7 linked regions of the Coturnix japonica genome follow. The protein of the gene in region 2 interacts with the protein of the main gene of each other region in a biochemical or structural test. Links are inferred from orthologs where the notes say so. Each region holds a gene or a part of one and is shown on either strand. Other genes may lie near its edges. The genes, in order: MAGI1, CRHR1, MAGI2, MAGI3, PDZK1, GOPC and DLG1.

Region 1 (4,013 bases), on a different chromosome or scaffold from region 2:
CTCTGCGGTGTTTCAGTGGCATCCTATGTGGAGCCCTGGTGCCTGCTCCATTGTAAGTCATTGGTAAGGAGGTGTGGAGGAGCTGATGTACCCACACCGCCCCACAGAGGTTCTTGTGCTGGGCTGTGTTGTTCAGACTAGAGTTAAGGGGTTAGAGCAGCTCTCGCCAGAATTAGAACAGCTCCTTTATCTGAATGACAAATTCCTCCCTTGGGAAACTGCAGAGCTGAGTTTTGTTTCATCACTGACCCCATAAAATGAATTTTTAATTATGTGTATACTCCTGTCTACTAGGATGGCTTACGATAGCCCTCAGAATAGACATGGAATACAATTTCTGTCTGCTTTGGCTCATTTCTGACCCTACCATCTGTGCCTAGGGAAACAAGGTTAGCAAACTGTATAATTAAGGCTTGACATTTATTTATCAAAGGCATCGAGAATATTTTTTTGCTATTAAATGCCATGCCAAGAATTGTTTCCAGTGTTTTTTCCCACCACTTCACATATGGATGCCAGTTATTTCCGCAGCACTCCTTCCTGTTGGAATTAAACTGGAAAGTAACAACGATGAGACATAAGTTTATTTTACTTGCTATCAATACACTGGCAGAATGGTTTGAATTTGAGCATCTGTCTCTTCCTTCTAATTCAGGCACTGCATTATTGCTGCTTACTGAGTTTGTTTGAGAAACAACTGTAGGGTGGAAAAGTTTAAACTGTATCATTTTTTGAAATCATTCTGATTTCTCCTAACTTTCTGAAGCTATCTTGAAATGGAAAATGCTTTACAAAACTCATGAACTGGCTTTTACTTGTTTCTTTAAGTATTGATCTTTAGCAGAAATGCTCAGAACCAGCACTCTGCAGTGCTTATAGCATAATTACTTAAAATGTGCTTTGTTTTTATTAAAGATATTGTGGGATGGGAGACAATAAAATAACAAGCTCTGAAGGGTAGACCTTGCCTTGGACACAAAGATGGGCTTTAAGAGAATGCAATTCAATCTGCACATCCCCTCACAGTGGGAACTCTTCTTAGTGATGGAGAAACTTTACAGTAGAAGGGAGATTACAGAAACCATTGAATTAATGGGTGACGAGCAGCTCATCTCTGCTGCAGATGTTACCTGGTATTTGGACTTCCTCTGTTTTTTTGTTTGTTTGACTCCAGTGAGAATGACTGTGCCCTTAGGAATCCAGTTAAAGCGGTGACGATGTAGGCTGGCCTTTTAAAATGCAATCAGACAGACCTCACCTTTCCTGCTGTAATTTCATTTTTTTTAAAAGAGTGAATCACTACTTTAATGTATTTGATATCATCTGCCATTTCTCCTCAGATATCATATTGATACTGGAATCCTCTTGTTTTCTTAAGCAGGCTTTTTGGCTCACTGCTTCACATACACTGCTGTCAATATTGTTTGGTATTTCGTTTCCTTCCTCAGAGATGTTTCACACCTGACCATGATTCCTGCTTGTCACATGACAGATTTCCTAATTCATCACTCTCTTCCATCCCCAGCCACATCAACCGGAAGACACAATATGAGAACCCGGTTCTTGAAGCAAAGAGGAAGAAGCAGCTTGAACAACAACAGCAGCAGCAGCCACCAGAAGGTTAGCAGCACCAAGGGCACGATGATTGGGGTGTTCAGGGGGGAACCTGCCCTCCCTCACTTTGGCAGCCCCGTGCTGATGGTTTTGTCCTTTGTTCTGTGGCCATAATGTGTTCTAGAGGTAAAACGACACCCACAGGAAAGGCTGTTTGGGACTCATAGTCTACTGAAGGGAATGAGGAGTGAGCATTGTACACATATGCTAGAGAAACCCCTCTGCATGAGAGAGCTTTTGCATTTTGTGTAGCTCAGATATCTGAATTAATTTCATGATTTCAGAACACTTCACCCACCCCATTTTTTTCTCCTTTATTCATGTCTTAAAAAATGTTTTCCTTTTATTTTCTTTTTTAAAGCAACCCAATGGCAGTGAGGGACCTACAGGTTTCTTTCTGGACTTTCATAGATTTCCCACCCCTTGTTGAACAGCAGCTCCTGTCAAAGGGAGAGAAGACTTAGGTCTCAGCATTCATCCTACACCCCCAGTTACCGCAACATCATCCCTTCTATTTCTCAGTCAGGCTGAACTGATGTTGTGAGGACTGTGTAGAATAGCTTTAATGTAAATATTGAGACCACTTTGTTGCAAGTCCCGAGTGTGAGTGTGAGGAATACTGTCCGAGCACACACAGATTGATTGACTTAAACATAGAGGATCCTCCAGAGCTGTTTTTTGAACATCCCATTCATTTTGTTCCTTCTCTCTGTGTCTCTTTCTGTTCTTGCTATGCTTTACATGTCTCCTTTGCTCAAACCCACACTCCCAATGTGTGTACGTGGAGGAACTCATAGTGCTGTTGTGAAACGAGTAACATTTCCCTCTCTGCCCTCTCCAGAATGGACAGAGGAGTGTCCATCTCTCCCACCACCCGCTGCTCCAAACCTTGTTTCAAACAACCAAGAGACAGTTCGGGAAGCACCAGTGCAAGGTAACAACCTTGTTAAACCAGTTGTAAAAGCCCAACAAGTTTTTTTCCTGCAAAGGAAGTTCCCACCATAACCAATAAAGGGAGTATCACACACCAGTCCCCTAGACTTTGATACTAATTACCTCAAAACCACATTTGTTGCCAAATGTGAGGAGCAAACGTGATTACCTGAATGAAAAAACGAACCATGACTATTCTTCATGTAGTATCCCAAGTCTTCAAAAAGGCACAAAAATGTGATTTACATCAGTGGGATTTAACCACTGTACCTGCTGGATGCAGGTACAAATAGGGGATCTTTTGCTACAGAGCTGTATTGTTAGGCAAGGATTAGGCTTTTATGTCTTCATAGCTGAGTTTATGGCATGGCTCTTACAGTACGATCCATAGAAAATAGAAAATAGATTTCTTTTTGTTCACACAGGGCAGCCTTCCCTCCCAAAAACAAAATCATGCAAACCCTCCAGCACATTCCCATGGGATATTAGAGTATATTAGGGTAGTCCAGATTGGCACCAAGGAAAAACGTGTCTGGAGATGATGCCCTGTCCACCAGGCATCCAGCACTGGTCAGTTCATTTGAGTGCTGTTTTTATATACTGTTGAGATGGTACAAGGGCTGCCCAAACTCCATACCTGGCAATGCAGGACCCATTGTGCAGGGGACCTCACTCAGCTCTCCACCTGCTGCCGACTGCCATCCACCAAAATCTTGCACCAACATTTTTGTTAGCCTGCCTCAATGATGTTCTGGTCCACACTGATACTCCTTCTCTCTCTCACTCCTTCCTCTTCCTTTCTTAGTGCTGTTCCTCCTTCTCTTGCTCCCTGTTTGTAGCACTGTTCCCTGCTTCCCTGTCTCCTTGCCCTGCACCTGGGTGTTTCCATTTCCCTCTGGTGGCACTGCTGGGATCTTCCAGATACACTCCTTTAGAACATTCTCCCCTGCGAACACCATAGGTGTGACATAGCCTGTGATGCTACTGTCTCTTGTTACTAAGGGCAAGTTCAAGCCGTGTTAGTAGGCAGATGCTGGCAAGCTTTGCTTGTTCTGCTTATTTTTTTAACCAAAAATGAGCACAGGGCCAAACCCTGCTACAAGCTGCCTGTGTTTTTCTGCACCCTGGGGTCTGAGCACAGTATCTGCCTGCCATGTGCAGGATTGCCACATTCCTGTGCTACCCTTCAAAGGCAGAAGACGGACTCCTTGCACTGCCCCCTCATGAATAATCTTCAAATATACGTTTTATTTTTTTCCCCCATTCAAAGGCTTACAAGCCTCCAGTTTCCCTTAAGATTTGCTTTCTGAGCAGAGCCCCACGGCAATGCTGCCGAGGTTTCTGAAATCATGCCAGCACTGCTGGCTATGACACAGGCTGCTGATCCTGGAGCTGTCACCAGAGGGCTTAGTGGCACAGGCTTTTCCCCTCTAAACGTTAAAAATAATTAGAAGTTCAGAGGTGCG
Region 2 (4,690 bases):
GGCTGAGGGGATCAGGTGGAAAAAAGAAAATAAGCCTTTTGTTTGATTTGGAAGATTTTATTTTCTTAATTTTATTTTATTTATTTATTTATTTATTTATTTTTGCTATTTTAGCCCATTTTCAAAGCCTTTTCAGAGCTGATACCTGTGCTCCATCGCTCCATCCTCACCCCTCGAGCTGTAGCTCAGCCCATGCTGCAGTCCAGTGCCAAGACCTCTCCCTGTGTCTGGAAGGAGGATGGGCACTGCCAGGCTGAGCAGGCTGCGATCAGCACCATCACATCCAATTAACACTTGCAGATCTGCTCAGTTGAACAAACCATCCCAGCCCCTTCTGGGAAGAAACCTTGAGTCCCAGCTGCCCATGCAGTGAGCCACAGGTCTGGCAGGCACTAAAGCAGAGGGGATGGACCCCTGCAGCCCAATTACCCTATCTCTGGATCTAGGGAGCTCTCATGTTTGGGGTTGTGCTTCATCTGTGTTGATCCCAGAGCCCAGCCTCATGCAGAGCATCACTGGGTATGGTGGGATCCTGCAGGACTGGAACAAGTGCTCCAGTCCCTTGCAGTGCATGCATTTGGGGCAGGGTTATGCTGCTGGATCCATTGTGCCATCTGGAGCAGTCATAACAAGGGAGCTATTCTCAGCTCTGTTTGTACGTCTGCCTGACATCTCGCTTGCTGTCAAAACCAGCTTCCCAAGGCAGTAAATAGTTGTTTGGAAAAGAGCAAGTGGGTGCGGAGCTTGTCTCCCCGTCTGAACACATCCTGCTGATGCTTCAGGAGGGGGTAGGAGATCTCTGAGTGTGCCAACACTAGAAGACATGGGGAGGAATGTGTCTTCCCTACCCAGAATGATTGTGAAGGTAAATGGCACACAGGAAGGGAGATGTAGCACTGGAGAGCAGCCCGGATGTGGGGAAGGAGTCTCCTTAGCTTCAGTGACTGCTGGTGGCCATCCTCTGAGCACAGGGACTGGCCCCTGCCATCCCTCATTCATCCCATCCATTCATCGCAGATGGAATCACTTCATTGCTCCTGCCACGCAGGGCTGAAGAGGTCATTGCAATCTCTGCCAGAAACAATCCTTCAGCAGCAGCTTTTCCAAAATAGCTCCCTGGACAGATGGACTCGGTGGTTCTCACTTCCAAAGCAGCTGCGGAGCCACCCAGGAGATGTTCTGGAGAAGCTTTTGCCAATAGGATTGTTTGTGGTCAGTGCTTCCCCATGCAAGGGGAACGGCAATGCTTGCAGACAAGCCCTTCTCCTAGAGAAGGCTTCATCCTGACCCTGTGGATCAGATCCCTTTAATGATGCATTTTCCTGCTGACAGCTTACAAGGCTGTGATTTTAATAAGGTATCACAAATCTGAACGTGGTGTCAGGCTCATCATGTTTCCTCTGCCTGCTCTTGGGATGCAAAGATGCTAAAAGTGGTGATTAAAATGCTAAACAGGAGAAACTGAAGCTCAGCAGGGGTTGTGCAGGGCTGCAGTGTGGGTCACTGGGGAAATATATGGGGAAGAAGAACAATGGCTGGAGAAAAGAGAAGATAATAGGAGTCCCCAAGAGTGGAAAAGCAGTCCTGTAAATGGGTGCATGCAGATTTGGGGAGGACACCCATCAAGGCGTGGGGAAGCTCAGATCAGACCCACCTGCTGCCACATCCAGGAGGGAACAGAGGTGTGAGGAAGCTGCGTGTTGTGTGCGTAAAGCTGTTCCCATCTTCTCTCTCTTCATGCAGGTGTTTCTCCTTCGGGATAACCTCGTTGCAGCCTCCATCCAAGAGCAGTACTGTGAGAGCCTGCTACCCACCACCAACCACACAGGTGAGTGTCCTGTGTCCCCAGATCATGCTCAGGGCACCTGGTAGCAAGGATGGCCAGGTGAGGGTGAGACCCTTTCTGGGGGTGGGAATGTGCTGAGGCTGCATTGCAGCCCTGTGGTGATCACTGCATCAGCAGTTTGCAGTGTCAGTTGAGGCAGGTGGAAGATGCAGAGCTCAGGAGAGCTAAAAATAGGAAAAATAAACGTGCTTTGGGCTGGAGGAGAGGTGGGCAAAGAGACACCAGCTCTGCTCCTGCTTCTATGCTGCCACTTCCCTACTGCACCCAAGGACATCAGGAGCCAAAGTGGTCCTCAGTATCAACTGCCCTCTGTTAACCAGGAGCCACTGTCCCCTATGTTTGCACCCCTTCACCACCCCTATGCCCAAAGGTGACAACAAGAAGCTGTGGCTTTTTGCACACACCACGTCACCAAAGCAGCACATCCGTGATGTGTTCAGGGCTCAGCTGTCCTCTGTCCCCAGTACTTTCAGTGTTGTGCCACTGAGCACTGCTGGGTTCATGGAAGCAGCTCTTAGGGACGTGGCTCGGGCTGGCTCAGTCAAGCTGGGTGACACCAACAAAGTCATGGGCACCTCACTTATATCCAACACCCCTGAAAGGGTTTGTACCCATATAGGTCAGGCCCACAAAGCATTGTGTTTTGTCCTACATTAAAGATATGATTTAGATGTCACCTCAGCGCTGATGGCTCTGGGTTGTTGATAGATCTGGGGGGAGGAACAGTGGCTGAGGGAGAGGAGAGGGTGAGGGAGAGGGAGAGGGAGAGGAGCTTCAAGGCAGCAGGAGGAAGATCCTCCCTGGTCCAGGGTTGCTTCAGAACTCATTTTGTTTCTGTAATTGACAGAGGACAGAGCATGCATCAAACAATTGCCCAGCTTGACCCAGTCCCTGCTCAGTAGAGCATCTTTCCATCAGGGTGATGGATGGCTCCTTGCCACACTGCTCCCATTAACAACAACATTAAAAAGTCCTTTTTAAACAATTCCAGCTGGGCACTGGCTGATTCAGTGCCTGGATGTTTAGCAGAGCCCAGGGCACTGTGGCGAGGAGCATCCCCAACCTGAAGCATGAGGGTAGAAAGCCAAGGGTAAAGCATGGCTGGTGATAGAAATGGAAGTGCCTGCACGTCCTGGGGGCTATGCAGAGAAGCCTGGCCATCACTCATGGGCTTTGCTCCCTGAAGGTTTCATTACTCCACAAGGTGTTTGTCCTTGGCCAAGTTAAGCAGTGATAAATGGTATTGGTTTACTTCTTGCTTGTCTTTCTTGGTGTAATGTGTCTCTGGCTCTGACCCATGAATTGTGGGGAGCACCTCCAGACCTTCCTGTGATGGAGGAGCTGGCCCATGGCCCAAGGCATGGAGCCTCCTTGTGCTCAGCTCATGGCCCCTGTCACCTGTGCTGTCGCTTCCTGAACCCAGGGTAGAGAGCAGGGAGCGTTTCCAAGCAGCAGGCAATGCTTTTTGCAGGCATCAGACTTCCTTGCATTGGGATTTAGCAGTGCAAAGCTATTCAGGAGCAAGTGTACCACAGCATCTATCTCTTTGGGATGGGGAGCACAGCAGGCCAGGCTTTAAATCTGCAAAATCTCCTCCATCCTACCTACCACGCATGGGTAACTTGATGGATATGGGGATGGTGCGTGTGAGAGTTGCTCCCAGCTCAGGATGGGGGCTTATCTAAAACTAATTGTCCTATGGCTGTTGTTTGGTAAGTGAAGCTCAGCGTCAGCCCTCATCCTTGGGGTCTGTTTAAGCCCTGCCTGATTTAGGCAGCGTTTCTGAGGAAGAGATGTTCACAAAACTGGCAACTTTGTTTTGAGGCTATTTGAAGCGAGGACTTGTTAAGATGATGCTAATGGGAATTGCAGCAAGGCTACAAGACTTAATTTGTTAATGTCTGCATAACTCTTGGGAAATGGCACATGCTGGCAACACGAGCTCAAGGATCCTCCAGCACACAGCACATTGGGCATCAGCTGGATGCACAGACAGGCTCTGCTATAGCATCATTCCTCCAAAAATCATCCCAGCCCAGGTTCTCACCCTTCTCACACTGCCAGTCCCTTCCTTACTCGATTTTACACTTAACGAGGATGCAAGGCTGGGTGGTTCTATTGCTGGTGCTCTGAGGTGCATGCACTGAGCTGGAAAGTTCTCTGCTTAGAACAGAGTGGTGCAGAGAGATGCAGGTGATGCTCACCGGCTGCATAGGCATGATGGTCCAAACTATTATTGTAGTCATCCACAGTGCCTTTCAGTGGGTATCCGTGCATTCAGATTGGCTGCTCTACTGCAAAGGCTCCTCCAAGTAGAAACCATGTTAAGCTGGACTTGAGACCAAGAAGGTGCATTAGAAGCCAGGTCAGCTTGCACCTCTAAACACCTGGAAGCCAAGAAATTTAGCTTAATTAAACTTATCAAAGAGAAACAATGAAGATCAACCTTGTTCAGGGTTGAAAGGTCCCTGTCCCAAGGGCTCCCAGCCTTCAGATTGCTGCAGACAGCAAATTACCTTCCTGATTTCAGTTCCCTGGGGTCTGTATGCAGCTGCTTCTCCCCTTGCCACAAAGCTTTTGCAGAGAGATGAGGTCATTTTGCCCATGGGGATGAAGCATCCCACTGTCAAAAGAATGCTTCTCACTGCAGCCTTTTCACTGGGAAGGAAAGGGGAGTCTGAGTAGATGGGGAAGCCTAACTAATAGGTGAGGCTTTCCCAGAGCAGCCCAGCAAAAAGCAGTCAAGCAGAGCGAGTGCTTAAGGGGTTATTTTGCCTTTCATAGCATTCAGGCTTGGATCAGCCCAAGGAGTTGGCACCCAATTGCTAATAGCTCTGGTACTTC
Region 3 (4,534 bases), on a different chromosome or scaffold from region 2:
ACACATGACATCTCTTTTACCTTCCCCCATCCTGTACCCAGCCTGCAGACCCTTTCATATACTCTTTTCTCCTATATCTTGCAGAAGCAAAAACTATACTTCTCAAAGTCAGCAGGTTGCTCTGTCTTTATTTGTCAATCTTCCCTTCAGATGGAAATTATTATTATTATTATTATTTTTTCAGCAAGACAAGCTTCTCAGAAATACATGCCAACTGCTACACTCCACTGCTTGCACACGTGTTAGGCATATGACAGAACAAATTAAATGGAAAATGCACAGGAGCAGAGGGCTGCACTATCACCTGCTCCTGAGTGCTTAGACAGAGAGAAGTACTTGGGGTTGGAAATGCCACTCTTTGGTAGCTCGGGTTATGTAGGATTTAGAGCCAAGCAGATGGAACCAAATGAGATCTGGTAGGTGACAGCAAGAAGATCTCATAGAAAACACACCACTGACTGCTACCCCTGTCGTCATTGCATCCTCTACAACATTCCCTGTCCACCAGCAGTGATACTGTTTCTGTCCCCTGTGGACACAGTAACCAGCATTAAAAAGTATACCCATACACAGTACAACTCTATAAACTGAAGTGTGAGACCTTAGAGCAGGAAAGCGAGGCAGGCTCTGTGCACATTAACACTGAGATCTAAGTAAACGGCTGCTTTGTTTTTCCTGCCGCAACTTGAAGCCTGTCACTGGATTCTCCCTTGTCAGAAGCAGAACTCCCAACCAACCCCTCCACACATTCCATTGCCATCCTTCTTCCTCGAGGAATTTGACTTATACGCATTACCCATTTCCTGAATTGCTACCCAGAGCTTCCCACTGCAGTGGTGTGAACCATCAGGGCACCGCATCACCCTGCGACTCTCCTCCCTGGGCAGGCTGAGGGGAAAGGGGAACCACTCCCGTGCTTCTCCCTCGCCCCCAGGTAGGCCGGGCCCGGGGAAGCCCTGCGGAGCAGGACGGCAGCGGGGTCACCCCGGATGGGACCCGGTATCAGCGCAGCTCATAGGGCTCGAGGTGTTGCCGGAGGCGGAGAGCAGCGGGAACGTCAGCCCGGCGAGAGGCCCGGCCGGGAGCCGCTACGGGGCAACCGGCGGGTACCGCAGCCCCCGGCACCTCATCCCCGGGCTCCCCCTGTCGGCAGGGGCTGCCCTGCGGGGTAGCGGTGCCGCCGGGCCGGGAGCTCCGAGCCGCCTGCCCGCCCCTCGCCCGGCCGCTCTCCGCCTTCTGCCGGCCGTGCCAGGCAGCCTCTCTCTCGGCCTTCACTACCGGGTCAGGCGAGGAGGGAGCTCCGAGGCAGCGCCCGCCTCGCTCCGCCGCTGCCGCCACACTCCTCCTCCCCGCGGCCGTTCCCTCCTTTTTCCCCTCCCACCCTCCCTCCCCGCTGCCAGTTTCTCTACAACTAGTACATCCACACGCAGGGTCCCGGCCGCCGCGGCTGCCATGGATATCAGCTAAAGCGCCGGCAGCCGCTCGGACCGGGCAGAGAGGAGCTCCCCGTCCCCGCTCCGTCGCCCCGCGGGGCCGCGGTACCCGCCCCCCTTGCCGGCAGCGGCCCCGAGCCTGCCCCGAGCGTGCCCCAGCGAAGCCCCGGGGGAGGGGGGCAGAGAAAGGGAGGAGAGAGCGGCAAGCAGAGCGGGAGTCGGGCAGAGCATCCCCACGGCAATGTCCAAGGGCTTGAAGAAGAAAAGCCACTGGACGAGCCGAGTCCACGAGATCGTGATCGTGCGGAACCCGGAGGGGCAGCTGGGCTTCGAGCTGAAGGGGGGAGCCGAGAACGGGCAGTTCCCGTACCTGGGCGAGGTGAAGCCCGGCAAGGTGGCCTATGAGGGCGGCAGCAAGTTGGTGCCGGAGGAGCTGCTGCTGGAGGTGAACGAGACCCCTGTGGCCGGGCTCACCATCAGGGATGTGCTGGCCGTGATCAAGCACTGCAAGGACCCCATCCGCCTCAAGTGCGTCAAGCAAGGTAAGGCGGCGGCCGGGGGGCCGGGCCGGGCCGGGGGGAACGGGGGGCGGCGGCTGGGGGGGAGCAACTTTGTTGCGGCAGTTTGACTTTCCCCCACCCGCCGGCGGCAGCAGCGGGGGGAGGAGAGCGGCGCTCCGCCGTGCCCGCAGCCGGGCGAATTAAATGTGCGTCAGTGACAGCTCTTCGCCATGCCGCTGCGAGGGGACGGGGGGGCCGCGCCGCGGGGCCGAGCTGAGCCGGGCCCAGATCCGAGGCGGAGGGCGCTGCCGTGGGGCCGGAGGAGCGGGCGCGGTGCGGAGCGGATCGGAGCGGGACTGTGCTGTGGGGCGCTGCCCGGGGACGGGGAGCGGGCGGCGGCCTGAGCGTGCCGCTAACGGAGGAGTGGTTCACCTGAAACCCCGTGAGAACGGTCGCCTGATCCCGGGGAGCCGGCGAAAAGTGGGAGGGAGAGGCGGGGAGAAACTTTCTGGAAAGAACTCTTCTGCCTCTCCAGTTTGAGCTTATTTATTGTTGAGTGCTTGAATAGCTCCCTTACGTTTCTAGGATAGACAGGAGGTGCAGCAGATGCTGTTTACGTGTTTGTTTGTGCCTCTTCAAACTCAGCCGGGTTGGGGGGGTAACTGCGAGTGAGTGAGTGAGTGCGGTGAGGCTGATGCTGGCACAACCCCGCGCAGCGCAGTGCTGGAGCTCCGCCGGGAACAGCCGCGTGTCCTCGGACCGGCGCTCTGCGGCGGCTCTGTGCGGCTCTGTGCGGCTCTGTGCGCATCCCCCGAGCGCCCTGCTCAGCCATACACCCATCTCGTCCCAAACTTGGGGATTTCTGTAGTGGGAAGGGGTTTGATCTCATTCATTAGAGGTTTGCGTGCTCCATGGCGACAGCCAGTAGCCTTTGCTCGGAGGACATAAAGGCGTGTTATTGTGACATAATTTTGCAGTTTCACTTGCTCATTTTAATGGAGAGTGTGTTGTTTGAAGTGGTATTTGTGACACTTCGGAATGTTTGAAAGGCATGCCACTTATCAGTTTATCCGAACACAGCAAAATTCATAGAAAGTTTGACTTTCAGGCCTTCAGAATGCACTTTAAGATATAACCACTTGTGTACATAAGGTCACATACCTTAATAAAGACATGCACTGTGGTTTTCTTATTGGTTCTTTCAGGTAAGTAGTGAACTATGTTGTAGATCATATGCTGATAATCAGAAGATGCAGAGAGGCATAATAGTTCATGTGATAAGTGGAGAGGAGTATAATGAATTCTGTCTTGGAGTGTGGTGTCATCTCTGGGTGCCTGAACTCCAGAAACCTGCTCTGTAGTTGTCTTTCTTCATGAATTTTAGTGTGAGAGTTCTTGCAGTGTCTGGATTAAAAGAAGCAGCAGTGGAAGTGTCAAGAAGACAAGGGTTTCTTGTCTGTTAAACTATTTATGTTCTTTCTTCTTTGCAGAAATGCTGTAGATGCTAATCTGCACTAATGCCAACTTCAGGTTACGATGGTGTAATACGTCAGTCAGTCTCTGTCCCACCTCCTCACTATTCTTCATATATTTCATTTCAAGTCAAAGGAATCCCAAGTGTACCTTTAATACACATGTCTGTTATACATGAATTAAAGACATTAGTCAGGCTTTTAGTCTGTGGGTTACTGCAGGTTTATTGAATGAGACTTGGAGAATGTATTCTAAATCCCACCTAGGTTATATATATGCATACTATAGTAGTATATATATACTTCAGCATGTGAACACACTGTGCTTTTGATGTGAGTCCTCCAATACCGGCCAAATAACTGCATGCTTGGAAATGACAGCTCTGTGTAGATCTTTGGACTGAGACTTCTTGATTTGAATGATCTTTCTTGTGCTGCAGCATCCTTTACTTACTAAAGGGATATTCCTTCTGGATCCAACTTCCTGTATTTAAAAAAGGTCAATATTTTGTGCATGTAATCACCTGATTCCTCCTTCAGCATAATTCAGTCGAATCACTGCACTTCTTGGTTAAAAGCACAGACAGCTGATAGCCATGTTACTCACCAGGATAAAACTCCCAACAGTAATTCGCAGCAGTGTGTAGGAGAGAAAAAGCTGGGCAATCAAATCTTTATGTTTTTATAACTTTACTCTTGTTTTAGTTATAAAACACTTTTAGTGTGCTGGAACAAGGTTAATGACTCCATTATCATTGTTTCCGCATAATTTATCAATGGTACCTCTGTAAATTAAAATAGCATGACCTTGAATGTACCATGTGACATGACTGGAGCTGCTTCTACAGAGCTGCTTGTGTATGAAATCACAGAGATAAACGTGGAGGTAGATCACTACTATTTATAATGGGATGCTTAGGAGACTTACTTGAAAGTTGGTATTGAAGTTTCACCTGTAGATGAAAGCAAAGTCTGGCTAATTCAGTTTACAGGTATTAATTTAATGTAGGAAGTACAGGAAAGAAAGGTACTTCCATAATTTTTTATTATGTTGTATTTGACTATACACCACTGAAATAATGCAGTGCTTCATCTTTTATTGCATCGAGGGGTGAAATACTTCGAAAAT
Region 4 (4,013 bases), on a different chromosome or scaffold from region 2:
TAGTAATGCTTTCCCTGAACAACTGCAGAAAACAAAGAAAAACACTCAGATTCTTCTGACTGGATGAAACCTGTTCCCAGTTACAACCAGACAAGCAGCTCCATGGACTTCAGAAATTACATGTCAAGGGATGAAACCCTGGAACCTCTGCCCAAGAACTGGGAGATGGCCTACACTGACACTGGCATGATCTACTTCATCGAGTGAGTAGCCCAACACTGCCAGCAGGAAAGATACGTGCTGAAGAGCCACAGTCTGGGTAGCTGCCTAATGCTCTTAGACCTGTCCTGTTCTTTTACTTTATATTCCTATATATTTAATTTTATATATTTCCTGTCATTTGTTCCTTACTGTTAATCATTTATGCTACGTATTTGATTGCTGTTGTGCAGGGAAGTGTTATGGCTCCACGTGCATAGTCAGTTTGCAATGTGAGTTATGTATCTCATAAAATGCAAAGCTGGCTGGATGTTGGTAGGGAAGGTATAGCATCATATGAACTTTTACAATGACAAATCTCTCTGACATCTGAGAACTTGCGTGTTCTTTCTTCTCAGCATGAGTTCCTTGGCTGGGAATGCCTGCTTGAAAAGATGAGCAGCATAGATTAAAGCTCAGGATAGAAAAGCAGTTCATGTGTGCACATGTGAAATAGCCTCAATTATGAATTCTGAGGTGAAAAGAAATAAAAACCCAATTGAATGTTAATTATACAACTAAAAGCGTTTGCTGCTTTCAGGTAGAAATAGATGGTGTTTCCACGTGAGCTTTCTGGGGCACAGGAGAGCATTCCTCTCATGTTTCACATCTGTCCTCAGGAGTCTCCAATGCTGGCACCTCTGAGTATCGTTGTCACCTTTTCTATTTAGCATTTGACTGAGGCATAAGCAGGGATTAGGTTATCTAATGACTATGGTTTGACCGAGGTAGTAAATATTTAAGGTAAAGTGAAATTTCTTGAGTCTGAGGAAGTCCTCTTCTTTTAATGGGCTGTTTTGCTCTGCAGCCACAACACAAAGACAACAACATGGCTCGATCCACGGCTCTGTAAGAAAGCCAAAGCTCCTGAAGATTGTGAAGATGGAGGTGAGATATTTAGAGCTTGTTTGTTACTGTGGCTGATCAATGGTTGAGTTTATCAGGGCTAGTTGAGATCCATTACTGCTGTGACAGAAACTTACTGCTGATACACGTGCCACTGGAGCAAATAGAGTGTAGTGCTGAGTATCCATAGTTCAGTGGTAGTGAGAGTCCACATAAGACTGGGAAAGACCATAATGGATTTTTCCTGGAGCCGTGGAATCTGACTGAATCATGGATGTATCTGCATTCCTGAGAAGAGAATGATATATGTTGTTCCAGTGAGTATCATTGCTAAGGAGAAAGCTGGATATATCAGCAGCAATCGTGCTGGAAATTTTTATGTGGGTGGAACATGGCAGGGATAAAAGGTCCATAAATACTAGAATATATGCAGAATGAAGATGCAGTGTAATACCTATTGCTAGTAATGTGTATCACAAGCTTTATGGTATAACATTTGAATGTGTTAGTAGGGGTAACAGCTCTTCATGCTGCTGTTTCAAGACTTGTAAGTCAGGCTCACGACTGACCCACAGACGACACCTGTATCCATTTCCTATGTAGTCTGTGATTTAGTCAGCCAAAAAAGGAGCACCAAGTAGCTCAGTCTTCAGCAAACGCACATTACAAAAGCTGAGGCAGATTCAGAACAGCCTGTCATCTCCTTAAATTGCACAGGCTAACAATCATGTATTCATAATGAAGCCAGCTGGAGCAATGGACTCATACCGCTGCTTGTTAAACATACGTGCAGCACACCACAGGATAAAAAGAGCACTTGAAACGGAGAGATGCAGGATATCCAAATGAACAACGTTTAAATGAATAGCCCCCCTGGGTCTTTTGTCAAATCCTGTGGAGTGATGCTGATACTAATAAGTGGTAACATGCTGTCATATGCAAGGAAAATTGCTGGTACCTTCAAACTTAGGGCAGCCTCAAACAAGATTACACAGAAATTTTATCCCTCGGAATGTCTGGTTACCTGGCTGTGTCAATTATTCAGCTATTTAAATTTCCCTGGTCATGGTAACTAGAACAGTAAAGCTAAAGTAATTGGACCTCTGTTTTAACTGCCTGCCACCTCTAGTCACTAATGATCTGCTGCTGCTTACCATCTCACCAGACTTTGTGTTTTCTATCCCCTTTCATATGTTCTTCCTTCCCAAATAGGTTAATTTGGGTCTAAGTTTACTACAGACTTAAATTGATGTGGTTTTGTTAAATAGAAGTCTGATCCAGTGGAACAGAGTGAGAGGTGCAGGGCTTCAGGTTCCTTGGAATAAGCCAATGTTTTCTCATCAGAAGAAAAGTCTCAAACAAAAAAAGGGGAAAAAAAAAGTGATTTCTGTTTAATTCATGTTTTTCATCTGTCCTTTTTTTGTAAGAGTGCTGATATTTGCAGGTAGTTTTCCAAAGTAGTGGAGAATTTTGTTCTTTCTGATTGCAGAACTTCCTTATGGATGGGAAAAAATAGAAGATCCACAGTATGGAACATATTACGTTGAGTAAGTGCTGAGTATTAATTTGGAATAGGCACAAGCTGAGCAGAATGCAGGGAAGCAGTTGCATAGCAGTGTATATAGATTGCACTGAGTAAAGATAAGTTCTAGAGGCTGCTGTGCACATTTCTAAATCACTGAAGGACCATAATATGGTTGTGCTGACATATTGGAGTGAAGTTCTTCTAGGGAAGGAAAGCAAGTAGCAATGATAGTAATTAATAAATAGGAATGAGCTTGGAAGTTTGTGGAGTGGGATGAAGGTATACTCTCCCAATTGGTTACAAGTGAAATCACGTTGTTTTTTAAAGTAAATCAAGTTGAAAGGAAATAAAAACAAAAGACATTCCATGTTGATTCTGATAGTTTGGAATTCATTCAAGCAATAGTATTTGTGGGTTGTCTCTTGGGATGGTGCAGGCAGGATGGTTTCCTCTGATACCTTAATCTACCTTTTGTCTACAGTCACATTAACCAGAAAACTCAGTTTGAAAACCCAGTGTTGGAAGCCAAAAGGAAAAAACAACTGGGACAGACTGATGGTGGCCCTTCAAAATCAGGTATCACTAAATATATATTGACGTCAAGGGTAAGAGAGTAAAACCAGAAATTAGAGGTGGGAGATTTCATTTGTCCCCTGTTTTAATCTGTAATACAGTTTGGAAAACATGCAAGTTTGGTAGCCAGGCTTTAAGATATCTTCCTTAATTCTCTGATTGTCTGTTTTACGTGTGCTTGTGGTCACCGTACTTTGGAGATGTAGTGGCCGCCATAAAGCAGCATTGCTGATGGTTGATTATATTGCATCTTATCATGCACAGGGGCAGAGAAGTCTCTCTTCACTAGAGATCCCTCCCAGCTTATAGGAGCACTTATACGGACCTCACTGAAAAAAAGCACGATGGGTTTTGGTTTTACCATCATCGGAGGGGACAGGCCTGATGAGTTTCTCCAGGTGAAGAACGTGTTAAAAGATGGACCTGCTGCGCAAGATGGGAGAATTGCACCAGGTAAATCATTATTTCTCTAAGCTTGCATTTCTTCTGATGCTTTTTAGAGTGTGCAGCTGCTGATGTGCGAGATTGAGAGGACGGTTTTCTCCTGGGAATATTGTATTGCGTACACAATCTTGATCACTGTGATGTGTATTATGAAACAGGGCTTCAGGATTTGACATGTACTTTCCCTTCACTTTGAAATTACATGCTTAACCCACACGTGGCAACAGCGCAAGGCTATGAAATACGCGTGGGCGCAATCCTAGCTTAAGTTCAACCAATCCTAAAATAAACATAGGAACACCCCCCCCCCAAAAAAAATCCGATTTATTTTTGGATTGAATTTAGGATGCTCTAAAGCATGAATTAAAGCAGAAGACATCTGTTTGCAGCAGTGTGTGTGTGCTGCTTCATCTCCTGTGACTGTATA
Region 5 (4,464 bases), on a different chromosome or scaffold from region 2:
AATGCCATCAGTTCAGTCAGCAGATGCTTATGTCTAGTAGACGTGTTCAGTGGGTTTGACCTCACTCTGCAGCCAAACAACCATCCTGTCTCTTCCCTGTAGGAAGGTGGAGAAAACAGAAGGCAAGACTTTGGAGCTGAGACAGTGACAGTTTAGTGTACAGAAAATATTGTACATGTATAGAACATGAAAAGAGGGATTAATTCATTCACTACCTTACATCAGCAGGCTACTTACTGGGAGGCAAAAAGCTTAACAGTTGTTTTGGAAGACAAACACCACAATCAAAGGTGTCACCCCATTCCTCCTCCTTTCTGCATGACTTAATGCTGAGCATGATGCCAAATGGCACAGAATATCCCTTCAGTCTGTCTGGGTCAGCTGTCTCTGGTCTGTTCTTCCCCAACATCTTGTTCACATCCACTCTACTCACCTGGGGGCAGGAGAAGAGGGATGGAGAGACAGTCTTGGTAGTTCGCACACTGTTCAATGACAGCCAAATCCCTGGTGTGATTTGTTTCAGACACAAATGCAAACAACAGCACTGCACAGGCTGCCACGAGGAAAGTTAGCTCTGTCCCAGGCAGACTCAGTATAACCTTATCCCCTTATTCCATATCATTTGCGCCATTCTTAGGTTCCATGTTATCTAATGCATCTAAATACCCGCTGGACTTTTGTCCCATTCATCAAGGCCATCACTCAGGACAGGGGGAGCAGAATGTTGGATCACTGGGCACCAACACCAGCTTGAGGTGGGTCATTGTATTCACATACTTCCATGTGAAACTCACTCCCTTTTAGTTCAGGTGGTTTCTGCTGTATTACTTCCTGTATTGTACAAGTCAAATTGTGCAACGTATAGATCTCTTTGAGGTACATAACAAATTTGCTCATCCTTCCACACTGACCACCAATTACACTTTGATCTTTGAGCAAAGACAATTCTGCAAGTGGGTCATCCCTTTCCAAAAAGAAACTGTCTTTCTCAACAACTTCCCTACATGCACTGTAGGGACTTTGTGTCCTTTCATTGATTGCAATGCATGTTTCACATCTGCAGGTGGCCTGTGGGATGTTCTCAATCATCAGGTCTACCCCTCAATCACAACCACTTGGCACATTGCATCTCTCCCAATTACTGTCATTATTTCAGATTCCTCACACTTCCACAAGCCATCCAGCTGAGGAGGGGAATGAGAGAATAGATAGGTGGGCATCTAACTGCTGGCCAAGATTAACCCATCACAACCCTATGTTTGGCACCCTACATGGAGTGCACGGGTTTGAATTGGGAACCTCTCGATCTGCAATCAAACACTAACTAGTCATCGTCAGCACATGACAATCCAAACACATTCCTTTAGGACACTACTTATAGCTGAAGAAGGTTCTTGCACAGAGCAAAGATCACCTTCTTGACTGAGTTTTTTTGAGTATAATTATCAGTAGAACAGAATTCAAAGCTGATGAGGAATACATGTGATCTGCACTTCTGCAGGCAAGGACAAGGCAGCTTATCAAGGCATCGAGCATATTCAGTGAAACTTGGTTAAATAAATCATCTTTTAAATCAACCTTTGCCCAATCAAAGTCCAGTCCTACCTATAGGTACAGCTACAGGAGGGACAGCAAGAGAGGATTCCTGCAAAGGCTGCTTCACACAGATATACAGGTAAGTTATTCCTTTTTTTTGCTATATAAAACTGTGTTTTAGGAGTCTGATAATCTTGCATATAAAGTTTTCATGAAGTGAAAAGTTGTTTGCAGCCCACTATGGTCTTCCCTCCATTTCTACATATGAAGAGATAATCTGTCCTGTAAAAGCTTACTGTTCCTTCAGCTTTGTTTACTGCTGGTTTTCTGTAAACATCAGGAGTTAACCAAATTTCCCAGTGTTTGTCGAGAAAAGCTGCTCCGAGTTCTAGTTGAGATCAGTACAATGTCTAAACAATAGTGCAGGACATCCCTATGTGAAGTTATTCTTGATGCCACTATACTTAGACTCCAAAAACCACTAAGTACCTCACCAACGGGAATAAGAAACTCAGAACCCACAGCCTGCCTATCCATACATGCTGAAATGTTCCATCTTCTCCAGCTTCAGTGACATCCCTGCCAACTCCCCACTCCTCACCCATACTTTTCTATAAGCTGACTAACTAACCTTAACAACACAGTTTTAGCTTCCATAACAAATACTCTATATTTTCATGAGTAGCCAGATGTACTTCAGCAGTAGGCTGCTATCAAGAACGTGGAGAGATTTGACCACTGGCTACTTCTAAAAACAAGTAAAAGAAAAGGTCAGTTTTCACACACATAAGTTACGTGAGTGATATACAGAAACAGAAAAAAGAAAGAACTGTAAAGAGTTCATGCAGGCAGATGAAATTTTTTAGTATTTATTAGGCTGAGACTAATGGCCAACCTCTGCAACAGATCTTTGGGCTTTTCACAAACTTCTAACAGGAGCGAGAAAAAAAAACAATCAATCCAGTAAGACACACATCAAGTGTGGTAATTACCTGGATGGAGAAAGTTGCCATCATTTATCTTATTTCTTATGTCATAGTGGATCTTTGGCAGGAGTTCCTAAGACAACAAGATAGCGAACTTTGGAATTGCTCCTTGATCATAACTACTGCTTACTTTCTGAACATAATGTCTCTCTTACTGATAATGAGCTACACGAGACAATTTCATTGTATCATAAAAATATAGAATATTTTAGCTTGGAAGGAACTTCTGGAGCTCATCTGGTCCAATAGCTCATGCTAAACCAAGCCAACTTAGACCAAGTTTATCAGGGTCTCATCCAGGTAAGCACCTCCAAGGATGGAGATTCCACAGCCACTCTAGGTTCTTGTTCAAGTATCTGAAAGCACCAGAGATTAAAAAGCTGACCTTACCTCTCTCTAATTAGACTTCCCCTCACTGCGACCAGTATCTGTTGCCTCTCATCAGTATTAACATCCAAGAATAATAAGGATCTGTGTTTTCTACACCATCCGATTAGGCACTTGAAAATGCAAATAAGAACTTTCATTTACTTTCTTTTCCCAAGACTGAACAAACTCAGCTCTCTCAAACCCTCTTCAAACAAGTTGCGCTCCAAAACCTAACCCACCCCAGTGGATTAGTTTCAGTATGTCAGTGACACAGAGAGCTCAAAACAGCAGTCACGCATAGCCTTACAAGTGCCAAACAGCAGGGAACAATCCCTTCATTGACTTGCTAGATACATTCAGATATAGCCCACTATCCAGTTGATCTTCACTGCAAAGCTACACCAACTGATGTGAAGTTTTGCAGGACAACACGTAAGTGCACAAACTGACCAGCCAGCCTGTGCTGTCGTTATGCATGGTTTAGATATAGATTTTTTTCCACTTTTCTCTGTTAAATGTTTCGATATTTCTGACAGCTCCTCTCTCCAGCCTGTTGAGGTCTCTCTAAATAGCATCCCTAACCACCATCCTATTGACTGCTCCCCTCTGTTTAATATTATCCATCACGTTTGTTGAGGATATATTCTGCTGCACTGACCATGTCATAAATAAAAATGTTAAACAGTATCTATCAGTACCAGTACCAACCCTAAACATTGTCAATAAAAAGCAGCCAACAGCTGGATTAAGTGCCACCAATAAAAACCCTCTGAACCTAATGGCTCAGCCAATCTTCTGCCCACCTACAGAATCTGCTTATTCAGTCCATATGTCAACAAGTCATCCACACTTACTGTACAAGAGACCCTCTCAAAGGTATTGCAATAGTTAAAGAGTACATCGTTCATCGTTCTATGCCTGTCACAGAGCCAGTCCATTCATCTTGGAGTTAGCAGGTAAAAAGGATTCATTTAATCTCCCTTTGCACAGCTGGATTTCCCAGGAACCCAAACCTTAAGGATTCTGAAGCAAACTGTCTCAGCTTGCTTTTTTTTTTTTTTTTTAAACTCACAATTAGTTTTTCCATCCTGTTTCGTAGAGATGACTTCTGTTCTCCAGCCACGAGAGTGCAAAGTGACCAAGAAAAGCAAGAAGAGCTATGGATTTTTCCTGCGTGTGGAGAAAGACACAGCAGGACATCTCATCCGGAATGTGGAAAAGAACAGCCCTGCTGAAAAGGCTGGCTTGAAGGATGGAGACAGAGTCCTCAGGGTTAATGGTGTGTTTGTAGACAAGGAGGAACATGCAAAGGTACAAATCTGTTTAGTCTGGAGGCTACATCACCTCCCATGATCCAGACCCGCTGTCACTATTGGAAGCTTTCTCTTCCATTTCTATGGTGGAAAAGTCCGAGAGCTGAGTCAACAGCTCTGGATACCTCTCTGCATCATTTATTATCCATCATGGGTAGGAAATGTTTTTGAGGTGCCTCCATAGTGCATCAGCAGAAGGATGTGACAACAAAACCAATAGAGAGTTTAATCCTTCCTGGAGAAAGCTTTTAGGTCAATCA
Region 6 (4,461 bases), on a different chromosome or scaffold from region 2:
ATACTGCACTGCTACTGCCTGAACATCTGCAAACTAATCTAATTCTAGGATACAAAATAAGCTGTATCACGTCTCGTTCTAGATTGACCATATTCCATCCAGTACCAACAGTTTTCAATTTGAAAAGTGAAAAATATTCAGAGGCAGATGTGTAAAAAAAGAAATGACACCTCAGTAAAAGATGGACAATTAAACACATTTGAAAACATAAATCAACTTCCTTTTCTTATTAACTCACTAGAGCTATGTTCCCAGCATTAAAGGCACATCTGTCACGGAGCAAAGAAATACCATGGTTGTACATAGGTGCATTTCATATTGTAAGCCAAAGGAGAGAGGGGATTAAAAACAAACCAAAGGACCTTCATGATAAAGTGTATAGTCTGATCTTGGTTGAAAAGTGCTCCTAATCAATAATGCAGTTCTGCAGCACGCTCTGTAAGATGGACTCAAATGATGTGAAAAAACACCATACATATAAAGCCACCTACAATTGGCTTTTTTGGGTACTGAGTTGCTTTCTTTTCTTTTTAAATAGGAATCTTCATGTTACCCACACACACTACACATCCTTTAGCTGATATAGCACAAGTTAGTAAAGAAATAAAAATTCAGCTTAAAGGAACTTGTTCTTCTAAACCTATTAACTCCTTTTAAGTTCAACAGTAACAAAACTACATAGACAAATAACCTCTTAAACGTTTGCTTAAATGCTTTCCTAAACTCTAGCCTGCAGTTGGCTTAACCCAACTGCCAAGACACAGGGTGTGCTCTACCAGACATTCCATTCCAGTTTGTTCATTTAAAATGACCGAATGAGGCTGGCAGTCAAAGTGGCAGAATCAAGCTCAGTTTTCACCAGCACATTAAGCTACTACTTCTACTTACACTGAATTTTTAAAAGATCATCCAGTCCAACTGTTCACCTATTACTAATAGCTCCCACTAAACCGTGTCCCTACATAGATAACATTCATTCTCAACAGAGCAGCTCCATCTTTCAGAGATTAAAAGTGGCAGTTTTCATTTTCAATTTATGACTAATAATCATGATATTTGGATGTTAGGGGGAAGTTCTTCACTAGGAGAGTGGTTAGGCCCTGGAACAGGCTGCCCAGGGAGGTTGTGGATGCCCCGTCCTTGGAGGTGCTCAAGACCAGGTTGGACAGGGCCCTGAAAAATATTGTTCTGTAGCTGAAAATCTGCTCTATTAAGAAATCTTACTGTGCTCTTTGTGCTAGTTTCCATAGAAATAAATAGGAGATTTTACTTTCAGAGCAATCTACGATCTTTCAGGATCTAAGTTTTATAATTTCCTTGCAAAATATTTAAGCATGAAACAACTTCTCAAAGCAATATTCACCAAGCATTATTTCACTCCCTTAAGCTGATATGAAAACTCATCTGTTTTACACGTCTGTACGCAACACCCACCAGCCCTGTGCAATAAATGCTGATTGTCGACTATAAACTCATAAATCTTATTTGACTACACCTATACAAATAAGCGTGCTGTATAGCTTGACAGCATGCATGCAAACTGTGTATTCAGTTGCATTTAGAAGTGTATTCAAGTCTATAGCAACATAAATACAAAGAATACTGTAAACATCACTAGTGAGAACTGTGGTGAAATAAAGACTGCAATGAGCAAAACTTCCTTAGTGAGGTATTTATTCTACTTTGAAATAACCTGAATCTCTGTTAAGCTTTACCAGAATTTTGCATAACAAGGTTTTCATACCAGGAAGAGATCAGATTAAAACCAAAGCCAGCTTACTTTCTTCATTTCCTACTGCAAGGAAATCCTTCAGAAGATTCTTCAATTATTTCATTGCAATAAGTGAAATACAAAGGACTAAAAGAACCAGCACCTCTGACCTGTCCACTAAAGCTCTTGCAATGCACTTGCCTACATGGCTTCTAAGCAGCTCTCCTTATTCCCATATACTTCAGAGCTACTGGAACAAACAATACAAATCTAAAAAGCATGCTCTACAAGAGATACTGAAGAAGCTAACGATTTCTAGCCTAGGGAAAAGATAACTGAATGGAGACGTCTCAGCAGTCCTGCAGCACAAAGACTAGTCTTGTCACAGAAAGACAAGAAGGCATCTAATGTCCACGCTCTCTAAGGACAGGCCAAATGACATCCAAACACACTGCAGAAAGAAGCCTCAAGTTGGACTGCAGCTATGAAAATGAGAAATGTAAAATTGCCCAGATTTTCCTTCCAGAGTGCTCCAACTATTGCATCAACCACAGGACTTCACAGCCCTACCTCTTCAGTAACATCAACACCAGCCAACTCAGCTCCAGCAGACGCTTCTTCCTTCCCACTCTTACTGAAATGCTCATTTAGACACAAAGAAAACTTTACAGCAGTAAGTCTCCACACAGATCGTGAGATCTTGGTTATGAGTTCAAGTGAGTTCAGCAAGGGACTATCTGATCTGCTAGGAGTATGAAGAAGGGACAAGAAGGCCTGTCAGGCCTATCCCCAGTCCATTTTTCTGTTCCATTCACTTACAGACAGGAATAACTGCCGCCTGTAAGCTTGAAGATTCTTGCTGTCTTTGTCCCATTTTGTAAGGATTACCCAACTTCCTAGAGACATAATGCAAATACAAGGCCAGCCAGTGGTATCTGCTGCTCAAGATGCTCCTTTCATCACCAAAGACAACCTTTTATCACCATGAGCAACTCCATAACAACACAACCCGAAGGGATCTGCTGGGCCGCTCCAGGCCAGGCTCCCGGGGGACAGCCGCCGTCCTGCAGCTCGGGGCCTGAGTGCCGAGCAGTCTGCTTGCTGCCCACATCAGGCCTCACCCTGCCGTGGGCGGACAGCCCCAACCCTGCCGGCCCCTCAGCGACCCGCCGCCGAGCCCTCACCTCCAGTTTGTGGTTGATCTGGGACACGGTCTGCGCCTTGTGGCAGAGCTGCGCGAAGCAGGAGCTCAGGCTGGTCATCTTCTGCCGCCCCTCATAGGTGATGTCGGCCTGGTCGGGGTCGATCTCTCCCAACAGCAGGTCCACGTCCACGAAGGCCTTGTCGAACTCCTTCTCCAGCACCTCCAGCCAGCGGAACATGGACACCCCGCCGCCCGGCGCCGAGGCCGCGCCGCCCACCCCTCCGCCGCAGGCCGCGCCGGCCGGCCCGCAGGAGCCAACGCCGCCCGCCGCCGACATCCCGCTGCCCACCGCCCGGCCCGGCCTCGCCTCGCACAGGGCCCGGCTCCCGCTCCCACCCGCCCCGGCCGTCTCCTGCGCCCTCGCGGCGGCCCCGGTTCTCCCGGCGCGGCCACGCAGCCAAGGCGAGCGGAATGAGCCCGAGCGCAGGCGCGATGCCGCTGCCAGGCGGCCTCGGGGGCGGCTGGCGCTGCCTGCCACAACTCCAGGCGGCTCCCAGGCAGCAACGGCTGAGCTCCGACACCGCGATCGAGGCCGCTGCGCTCCCGGCCGGTGGCGGCAGGGGGCGGCGGTGCTGTCATACAGTGCGCTGTCAGGAGGGGCTGGTTTTAGGTTCAAGCTCTGCAAAGGGGCTAAGATGCAAACTTGAAAGTATTGCATAAAAAGGACTATCCTAGACGTCTGTGCACCTACAGATACACTGGTAAATGTCATTATACCAGTCGGAAAGGTATTTGCATTTCCTAACTCATTTTGGATCTGAATCCTGCCTACAACAGAGTCCCAGAAACTCTGTACAGCACAGGGTGCAAAGGACCCTAGAGATTGTACAGCAGAGAGATGACCCCCAACAGCAGCAGACAGCAAGAAGATGGCACTGACATGCCCTGCCTCTGGGCTGCAAGGTGTCCTGAAGCCAGTTTCTCTCATGGCTCTACTTCACAGAGAGACAAATTACAGCCCAGCAGTGTGACCACTCACCTGGAATACAGAGAGAGCTGTTAAAGCAGGAAAGGATTGCACTTCTATCAGTTTGTGTTTTCAGGAGAGAAGGGTAAAAGCAAACTTCACCGCTAGCAGCAGTTTCATGTTTCCTCTGGGATCTGATATCGCAGACTTGACAAGAATCTTACAGATCGCTGTTACAAACCAGTTCTTTTGCCCTTTACTGTTCAGATTGTCTGCACTGTAATTTGAGGCAGGTAGTAGCAAACTAGAAACATAATAGGGGTGCTTTTACTGTGAAGGCCTTCCACAATGGTTACAAAAGCTGCAAATATTTTTATACTGGCCCATAGAAAGAAATCTGGCTCAGTAAAGTGGGATATTCTGATAGTGTCTGAGCAAAGGGTGTAAGTGTCTAAACTTTAGACAGTTGTACAAACGCTTCTAAATGAGCCAAGTTTAGCAGAGCAATTGTTCAAGCTTCGTTCTAATGCTTTTTCTCCACAGCTATTATACCAACAGGGTCTGATGGGCAATCCAAGTATTTTCAGTATCAAAAGATAAACTAACGTTATTGTTTAAAGTTGTTCTGTTAAACAATAA
Region 7 (4,013 bases), on a different chromosome or scaffold from region 2:
ATAGCATTGGTGTGTTCCTTTGGCTGTTATGAGTATGGCTTATGAATGGAAAAGAATGTTTGAAAAGCTACACAAGTGAGTTCTTGAAGCACTGCATTTTATTGGGAATTCATAGTGTTGTCATGTGATTTTAGCCTGTACGTTCAGAATTATAAATTCTCTGCTGTCGTGGTGCTGATTTTTAGTGATTCCCATGCGAGAAATCTTACTCTGAGGCATTTTGTTGGACTAGAGATGTTCTTTTAGAGATGGCAACTGAGGTATATTTCAGATGCTTGCACTAACCTTTTAAAGCCTGCAGCTGTTAAAGGTCAAAGCCTCGTTATTTTCGTTTCATTCACTGCTGATATGCTTTGTGGATCTGAGAACAACACAGAACATTCCTACATTTCAAGCTCATGTTTAAAAACTCACTAGTAAAATAATAGTGAAATTTATACAATCATAATATTTTTTGTGGAGCTGAAGTGGTTGAAGGTCTTTGTATAGAGGCCACTTCATGAAAAATTTACTGGGAGAAATGTGCATGACGTTCAGCTCTGTATATAGAAGAATGTTGCAGAAACATTTAAAGTATGGAAAGTGCTCATGAAGAAGGTGGCATTGCCTCTAGCAGTGAATGACACCATGCATGCACTTCATTCTGGGAAACGCAAGAGCATTTCAGTTACGCTTTAAAATACTTCTTGTGCTTGACGTCAGTTTGACATGCTAACATAGCTGAAGGAATTGTATACTGTTGGTTGGCACATCTTTGTGAGTTTTATAATTCATCACTCTTTAAAACCGTCCTCCATCAGTATCATTGTAACACGTATTCTGCTGATGAATGTCTATATTGTTGCTGTTTGTTAAATGACTTGATTTAAGTTTATTGCTTTAGAAACAAATACATGGATGCTTCTTTGCATTTACCTTTCTAGGTGGCCAAGAGGAATACGTCCTGTCTTACGAACAAGTCAATCAACAAGAAGGTTTGTAGATCTCACTTAGTATAACGTGTCCATACTCTGGTATCAGAACGGTTCATGTGCACTTATGAACCGAGTGCTATAATAAACTTCCTCATTGATTTTCAACTGTTATCCCTATTAAAATGAATAAAGCATGAAGGCATAAATTATTAAATACAACTGCTAAATTATTTAGCATGTAATCCAAAGGTGCGCAAATTAATGACTCAACCACTGTGTGGTTTAAACTGCATAAGGAAAATAGGGTATATTTGTTTGGTCTCTGTGAACCTCAGAAATGATAGTTTTCTTCTGTTTCATATTGCGGTAGAGCTCCCAATGTTGCTGTTTCCTTTTTGTCACAGGGAAATACATGATAGTAGATTATTTGTTTGTTGTAGAAATCCTAGTTTAAAATGTTTCCAACCCATCCAAGTCTCATATTCCTGCATGCTGCTTTTTGTATGGCTGATTTGTTAGTTGTTAACCATGTGGGTTATTACAGAAAAAAAAAAAAAAAAGTATTTTTGAGTAAAGAGGAAATCAGTGGGAGATTATGCTTGGAACAGAATTCCTTGCACTGATTTTTAATGGGATCCTATTATTTCCTTTCCACCTTCTCCTGATCTTTTTTTCCCCTCTATGCTATAGATGTAGTTTTAGCATTCCTGTTTACCACCGCAGGGTGCTAATGGCTGATTTATTTAATCTGGTAAAATACCATATTCATAATCTGATTAAAAATATGATTTGTAAAAAAGGAATGATTGATATCTATTAAATATAGAATACAGTTTAAAAAAAAAAAAAAAACAGATGGAAAAAGGTATATTCAATTAATTCAATTAATAAGATTCAAGACGCTCCTTTTGTGAATTGGAATTACTTCCAGGAGTTAAAATGTATTTTACAAGTCAAACTGTATTTAATTTAGACTTGTGTAGTAATGACAGAACTTAAAACTAGAACTAAAGTTCATATGGCTGAAATGATATGCTTACAACTAGGTATTTAGATATTAATGTCGTTATGCTAAATGCAGTATAATTTGGAATCTTATGCTTGTCCTCTTTCCCTTCAGAAGTACATATTCTGTTAGATATTACTACTGTTACCATGCAGTAAAGCTTATTTTTGCTAAACTTTAAAGGTTGGTGATGTCATTGAAATGTAACTTAAGTTATTCCTTATGTTTAACAGTGAACTATACTCGACCTGTGATTGTTTTGGGACCCATGAAAGACAGAATTAACGACGATCTGATTTCGGAATTTCCAGACAAATTTGGCTCATGTGTTCCACGTAAGTTTCAGCAGACACTAAAGCAATTATAAGTGGGCTTTTGGTTTAGTGTTGTAACTTCCTTCATAGACCTAATTTCTGTATATAGAAGTAAAATGTTAGGATACCTTCATGAAGTTTATTAATGGATATTCTTCTCTTGTTACAGTTTTGCAGTTTAGATGGAGGACTATTTTTGAATGTTGGGAGGGAAGGGGGGGGGGTGGGGGGTGTTTCTTGTTTTCTTCTTTTAAAGTTACTGGTTTATATTCAAAGATACTACTAGACCAAAACGGGATTATGAGGTGGATGGACGTGATTACCATTTTGTCACTTCTCGAGAGCAAATGGAGAAGGATATTCAGGAGCACAAATTCATTGAAGCTGGCCAGTACAATAATCATCTTTATGGAACAAGTGTGCAATCGGTGCGAGAAGTAGCAGAAAAGGTAAATCACTGCCAGTTGTTTACATTTACTGAGGTGACTGTTTGACTGTGCTGATGTGGATAGGAGAATGGCAAGAAGCCACTGGGACCTTGAAAGGACTTCATACAAACCTAGAATCAAAGAGCATTATTACAAATTCATTTAAGAGAAACAGTTGGAACATCGTGATTAAGCTGTGAAAGAAGAGCAACTTCTGAAGTGCTGACAATGTAGTCTTCCACCTGTTGTTTGAGATCCTTCAACACCTGGAATAATCGTTGGACCAAATGCAGCAATTACTGGCTGTCATATCACAAAAGGGAACATGGACAAGTTACTGCTCTTAATTCTCTGTTCCTCTGCCAGGTCTACTGCTAATGAAAAAGATGTTCTCATTTCAGACTACCAAAGTCCTTCTGTTCTACTTCCCCTACACTGCCCCTTTCTAAAATGGTGTTGTCACAAATTGTTCATACACTACTCAAAGAAAAGAAATAAAAATGTGTGAAGTAGAAATTACTATATTAGACATAAGAGGTGCTCAGGAATAAGGAGGAGTCTTTGAGATGAGGAAATTCTGGAGCAGTGGCAGGTTAATAATACCGGGTGAACAACCCTGCTGCATTCTGCTTCAGCCCCCTGAGGAATGAGCTGTATTTGTTTCCTTAAAAAATAAAAAGTAATTGGCCCAAATAAATATAATTTGTTGTCTCAAACCTGGCGTTCCCCCGGGGTGGTACCTGACAGTGAATGAGAAACATTATATTCAGTTCCATCTGACTGTTCTGATGGTGATAGATTTGCTTGGCATTAGAGGCAGTTATTCCCTCAGAAATGCTTGTCAAGGCATCTGGCTCTTTTCTAAACTCTGACATGGCTGCATCCTTAAATAAACCCTAAAATAGTGGTGTAGTTTGATGTACAGCTGCTCTGTATTCTGTGTTGTTGATTGGGCTGCAGCTTCTGATGTAGAGAGTATGGAAAAAGAGTCAAGAACATCTCAAGTTATGCATGATCCCAGCAGAGGAGTGAGCACTGTGGGACCACATGCTAGATTAGTACAATTCTGATGTCATTGATGCAGGTGTTTTAATTTCGTTGGCTTTGTTGGAAACATGGTTTCTCTTCTAGGTTATTATACAGTGCATAGCTGTGACTTAAACTTTGTTTATTTCCTTTTTTCTTTTTCTCTCTCGCTTTTAGGGTAAACATTGTATTCTTGATGTTTCTGGTAATGCGATCAAAAGGTTGCAGATTGCCCAGCTGTACCCAATCTCCATTTTTATTAAACCCAAAACAGTGGAAAATATCATGTGAGTAAAAGCAAAGTACCTCAGAATAAATGGTTTGA

The links.
Region 1: the proteins of CRHR1 (region 2) and MAGI1 form a complex in vitro, tested with the Homo sapiens proteins (2 studies listed by BioGRID and IntAct, with this or other methods). The link is inferred for Coturnix japonica from reciprocal best matches to the Homo sapiens genes CRHR1 and MAGI1.
Region 3: the proteins of CRHR1 (region 2) and MAGI2 form a complex in vitro, tested with the Homo sapiens proteins (2 studies listed by BioGRID and IntAct, with this or other methods). The link is inferred for Coturnix japonica from reciprocal best matches to the Homo sapiens genes CRHR1 and MAGI2.
Region 4: the proteins of CRHR1 (region 2) and MAGI3 form a complex in vitro, tested with the Homo sapiens proteins (2 studies listed by BioGRID and IntAct, with this or other methods). The link is inferred for Coturnix japonica from reciprocal best matches to the Homo sapiens genes CRHR1 and MAGI3.
Region 5: the proteins of CRHR1 (region 2) and PDZK1 form a complex in vitro, tested with the Homo sapiens proteins (2 studies listed by BioGRID and IntAct, with this or other methods). The link is inferred for Coturnix japonica from reciprocal best matches to the Homo sapiens genes CRHR1 and PDZK1.
Region 6: the proteins of CRHR1 (region 2) and GOPC form a complex in vitro, tested with the Homo sapiens proteins (2 studies listed by BioGRID and IntAct, with this or other methods). The link is inferred for Coturnix japonica from reciprocal best matches to the Homo sapiens genes CRHR1 and GOPC.
Region 7: the proteins of CRHR1 (region 2) and DLG1 form a complex in vitro, tested with the Homo sapiens proteins (3 studies listed by BioGRID and IntAct, with this or other methods). The link is inferred for Coturnix japonica from reciprocal best matches to the Homo sapiens genes CRHR1 and DLG1.

What each region holds. Positions count from the first base shown.
Region 1 is NC_029527.1:11,508,948-11,512,960, reverse strand, and holds part of MAGI1 (membrane-associated guanylate kinase, WW and PDZ domain-containing protein 1), read left to right. Parts: intron 1-1,525; coding exon 1,526-1,620; intron 1,621-2,455; coding exon 2,456-2,548; intron 2,549-4,013. UniProt on the Homo sapiens protein: Plays a role in coupling actin fibers to cell junctions in endothelial cells, via its interaction with AMOTL2 and CDH5. May regulate acid-induced ASIC3 currents by modulating its expression at the cell surface.
Region 2 is NC_029542.1:1,739,061-1,743,750, forward strand, and holds the start of CRHR1 (corticotropin-releasing factor receptor 1), read left to right. Parts: upstream 1-1,539; 5' UTR 1,540-1,590; coding exon 1,591-1,828; intron 1,829-4,690.
Region 3 is NC_029516.1:10,509,957-10,514,490, forward strand, and holds the start of MAGI2 (membrane-associated guanylate kinase, WW and PDZ domain-containing protein 2), read left to right. Parts: upstream 1-1,377; 5' UTR 1,378-1,674; coding exon 1,675-1,975; intron 1,976-4,534. UniProt on the Homo sapiens protein: Seems to act as a scaffold molecule at synaptic junctions by assembling neurotransmitter receptors and cell adhesion proteins. Plays a role in nerve growth factor (NGF)-induced recruitment of RAPGEF2 to late endosomes and neurite outgrowth.
Region 4 is NC_029541.1:3,745,262-3,749,274, forward strand, and holds part of MAGI3 (membrane-associated guanylate kinase, WW and PDZ domain-containing protein 3), read left to right. Parts: intron 1-28; coding exon 29-203; intron 204-1,006; coding exon 1,007-1,086; intron 1,087-2,533; coding exon 2,534-2,591; intron 2,592-3,050; coding exon 3,051-3,145; intron 3,146-3,406; coding exon 3,407-3,595; intron 3,596-4,013.
Region 5 is NC_029516.1:83,006,768-83,011,231, reverse strand, and holds the start of PDZK1 (Na(+)/H(+) exchange regulatory cofactor NHE-RF3), read left to right. Parts: upstream 1-1,495; 5' UTR 1,496-1,675; intron 1,676-3,990; 5' UTR 3,991-3,992; coding exon 3,993-4,202; intron 4,203-4,464. UniProt on the Homo sapiens protein: A scaffold protein that connects plasma membrane proteins and regulatory components, regulating their surface expression in epithelial cells apical domains.
Region 6 is NC_029518.1:57,622,883-57,627,343, reverse strand, and holds the start of GOPC (Golgi-associated PDZ and coiled-coil motif-containing protein), read right to left. Parts: upstream 3,208-4,461; 5' UTR 3,193-3,207; coding exon 2,896-3,192; intron 1-2,895.
Region 7 is NC_029524.1:10,713,459-10,717,471, reverse strand, and holds part of DLG1 (disks large homolog 1), read left to right. Parts: intron 1-923; coding exon 924-974; intron 975-2,153; coding exon 2,154-2,255; intron 2,256-2,510; coding exon 2,511-2,683; intron 2,684-3,865; coding exon 3,866-3,975; intron 3,976-4,013. UniProt on the Homo sapiens protein: Essential multidomain scaffolding protein required for normal development. Recruits channels, receptors and signaling molecules to discrete plasma membrane domains in polarized cells.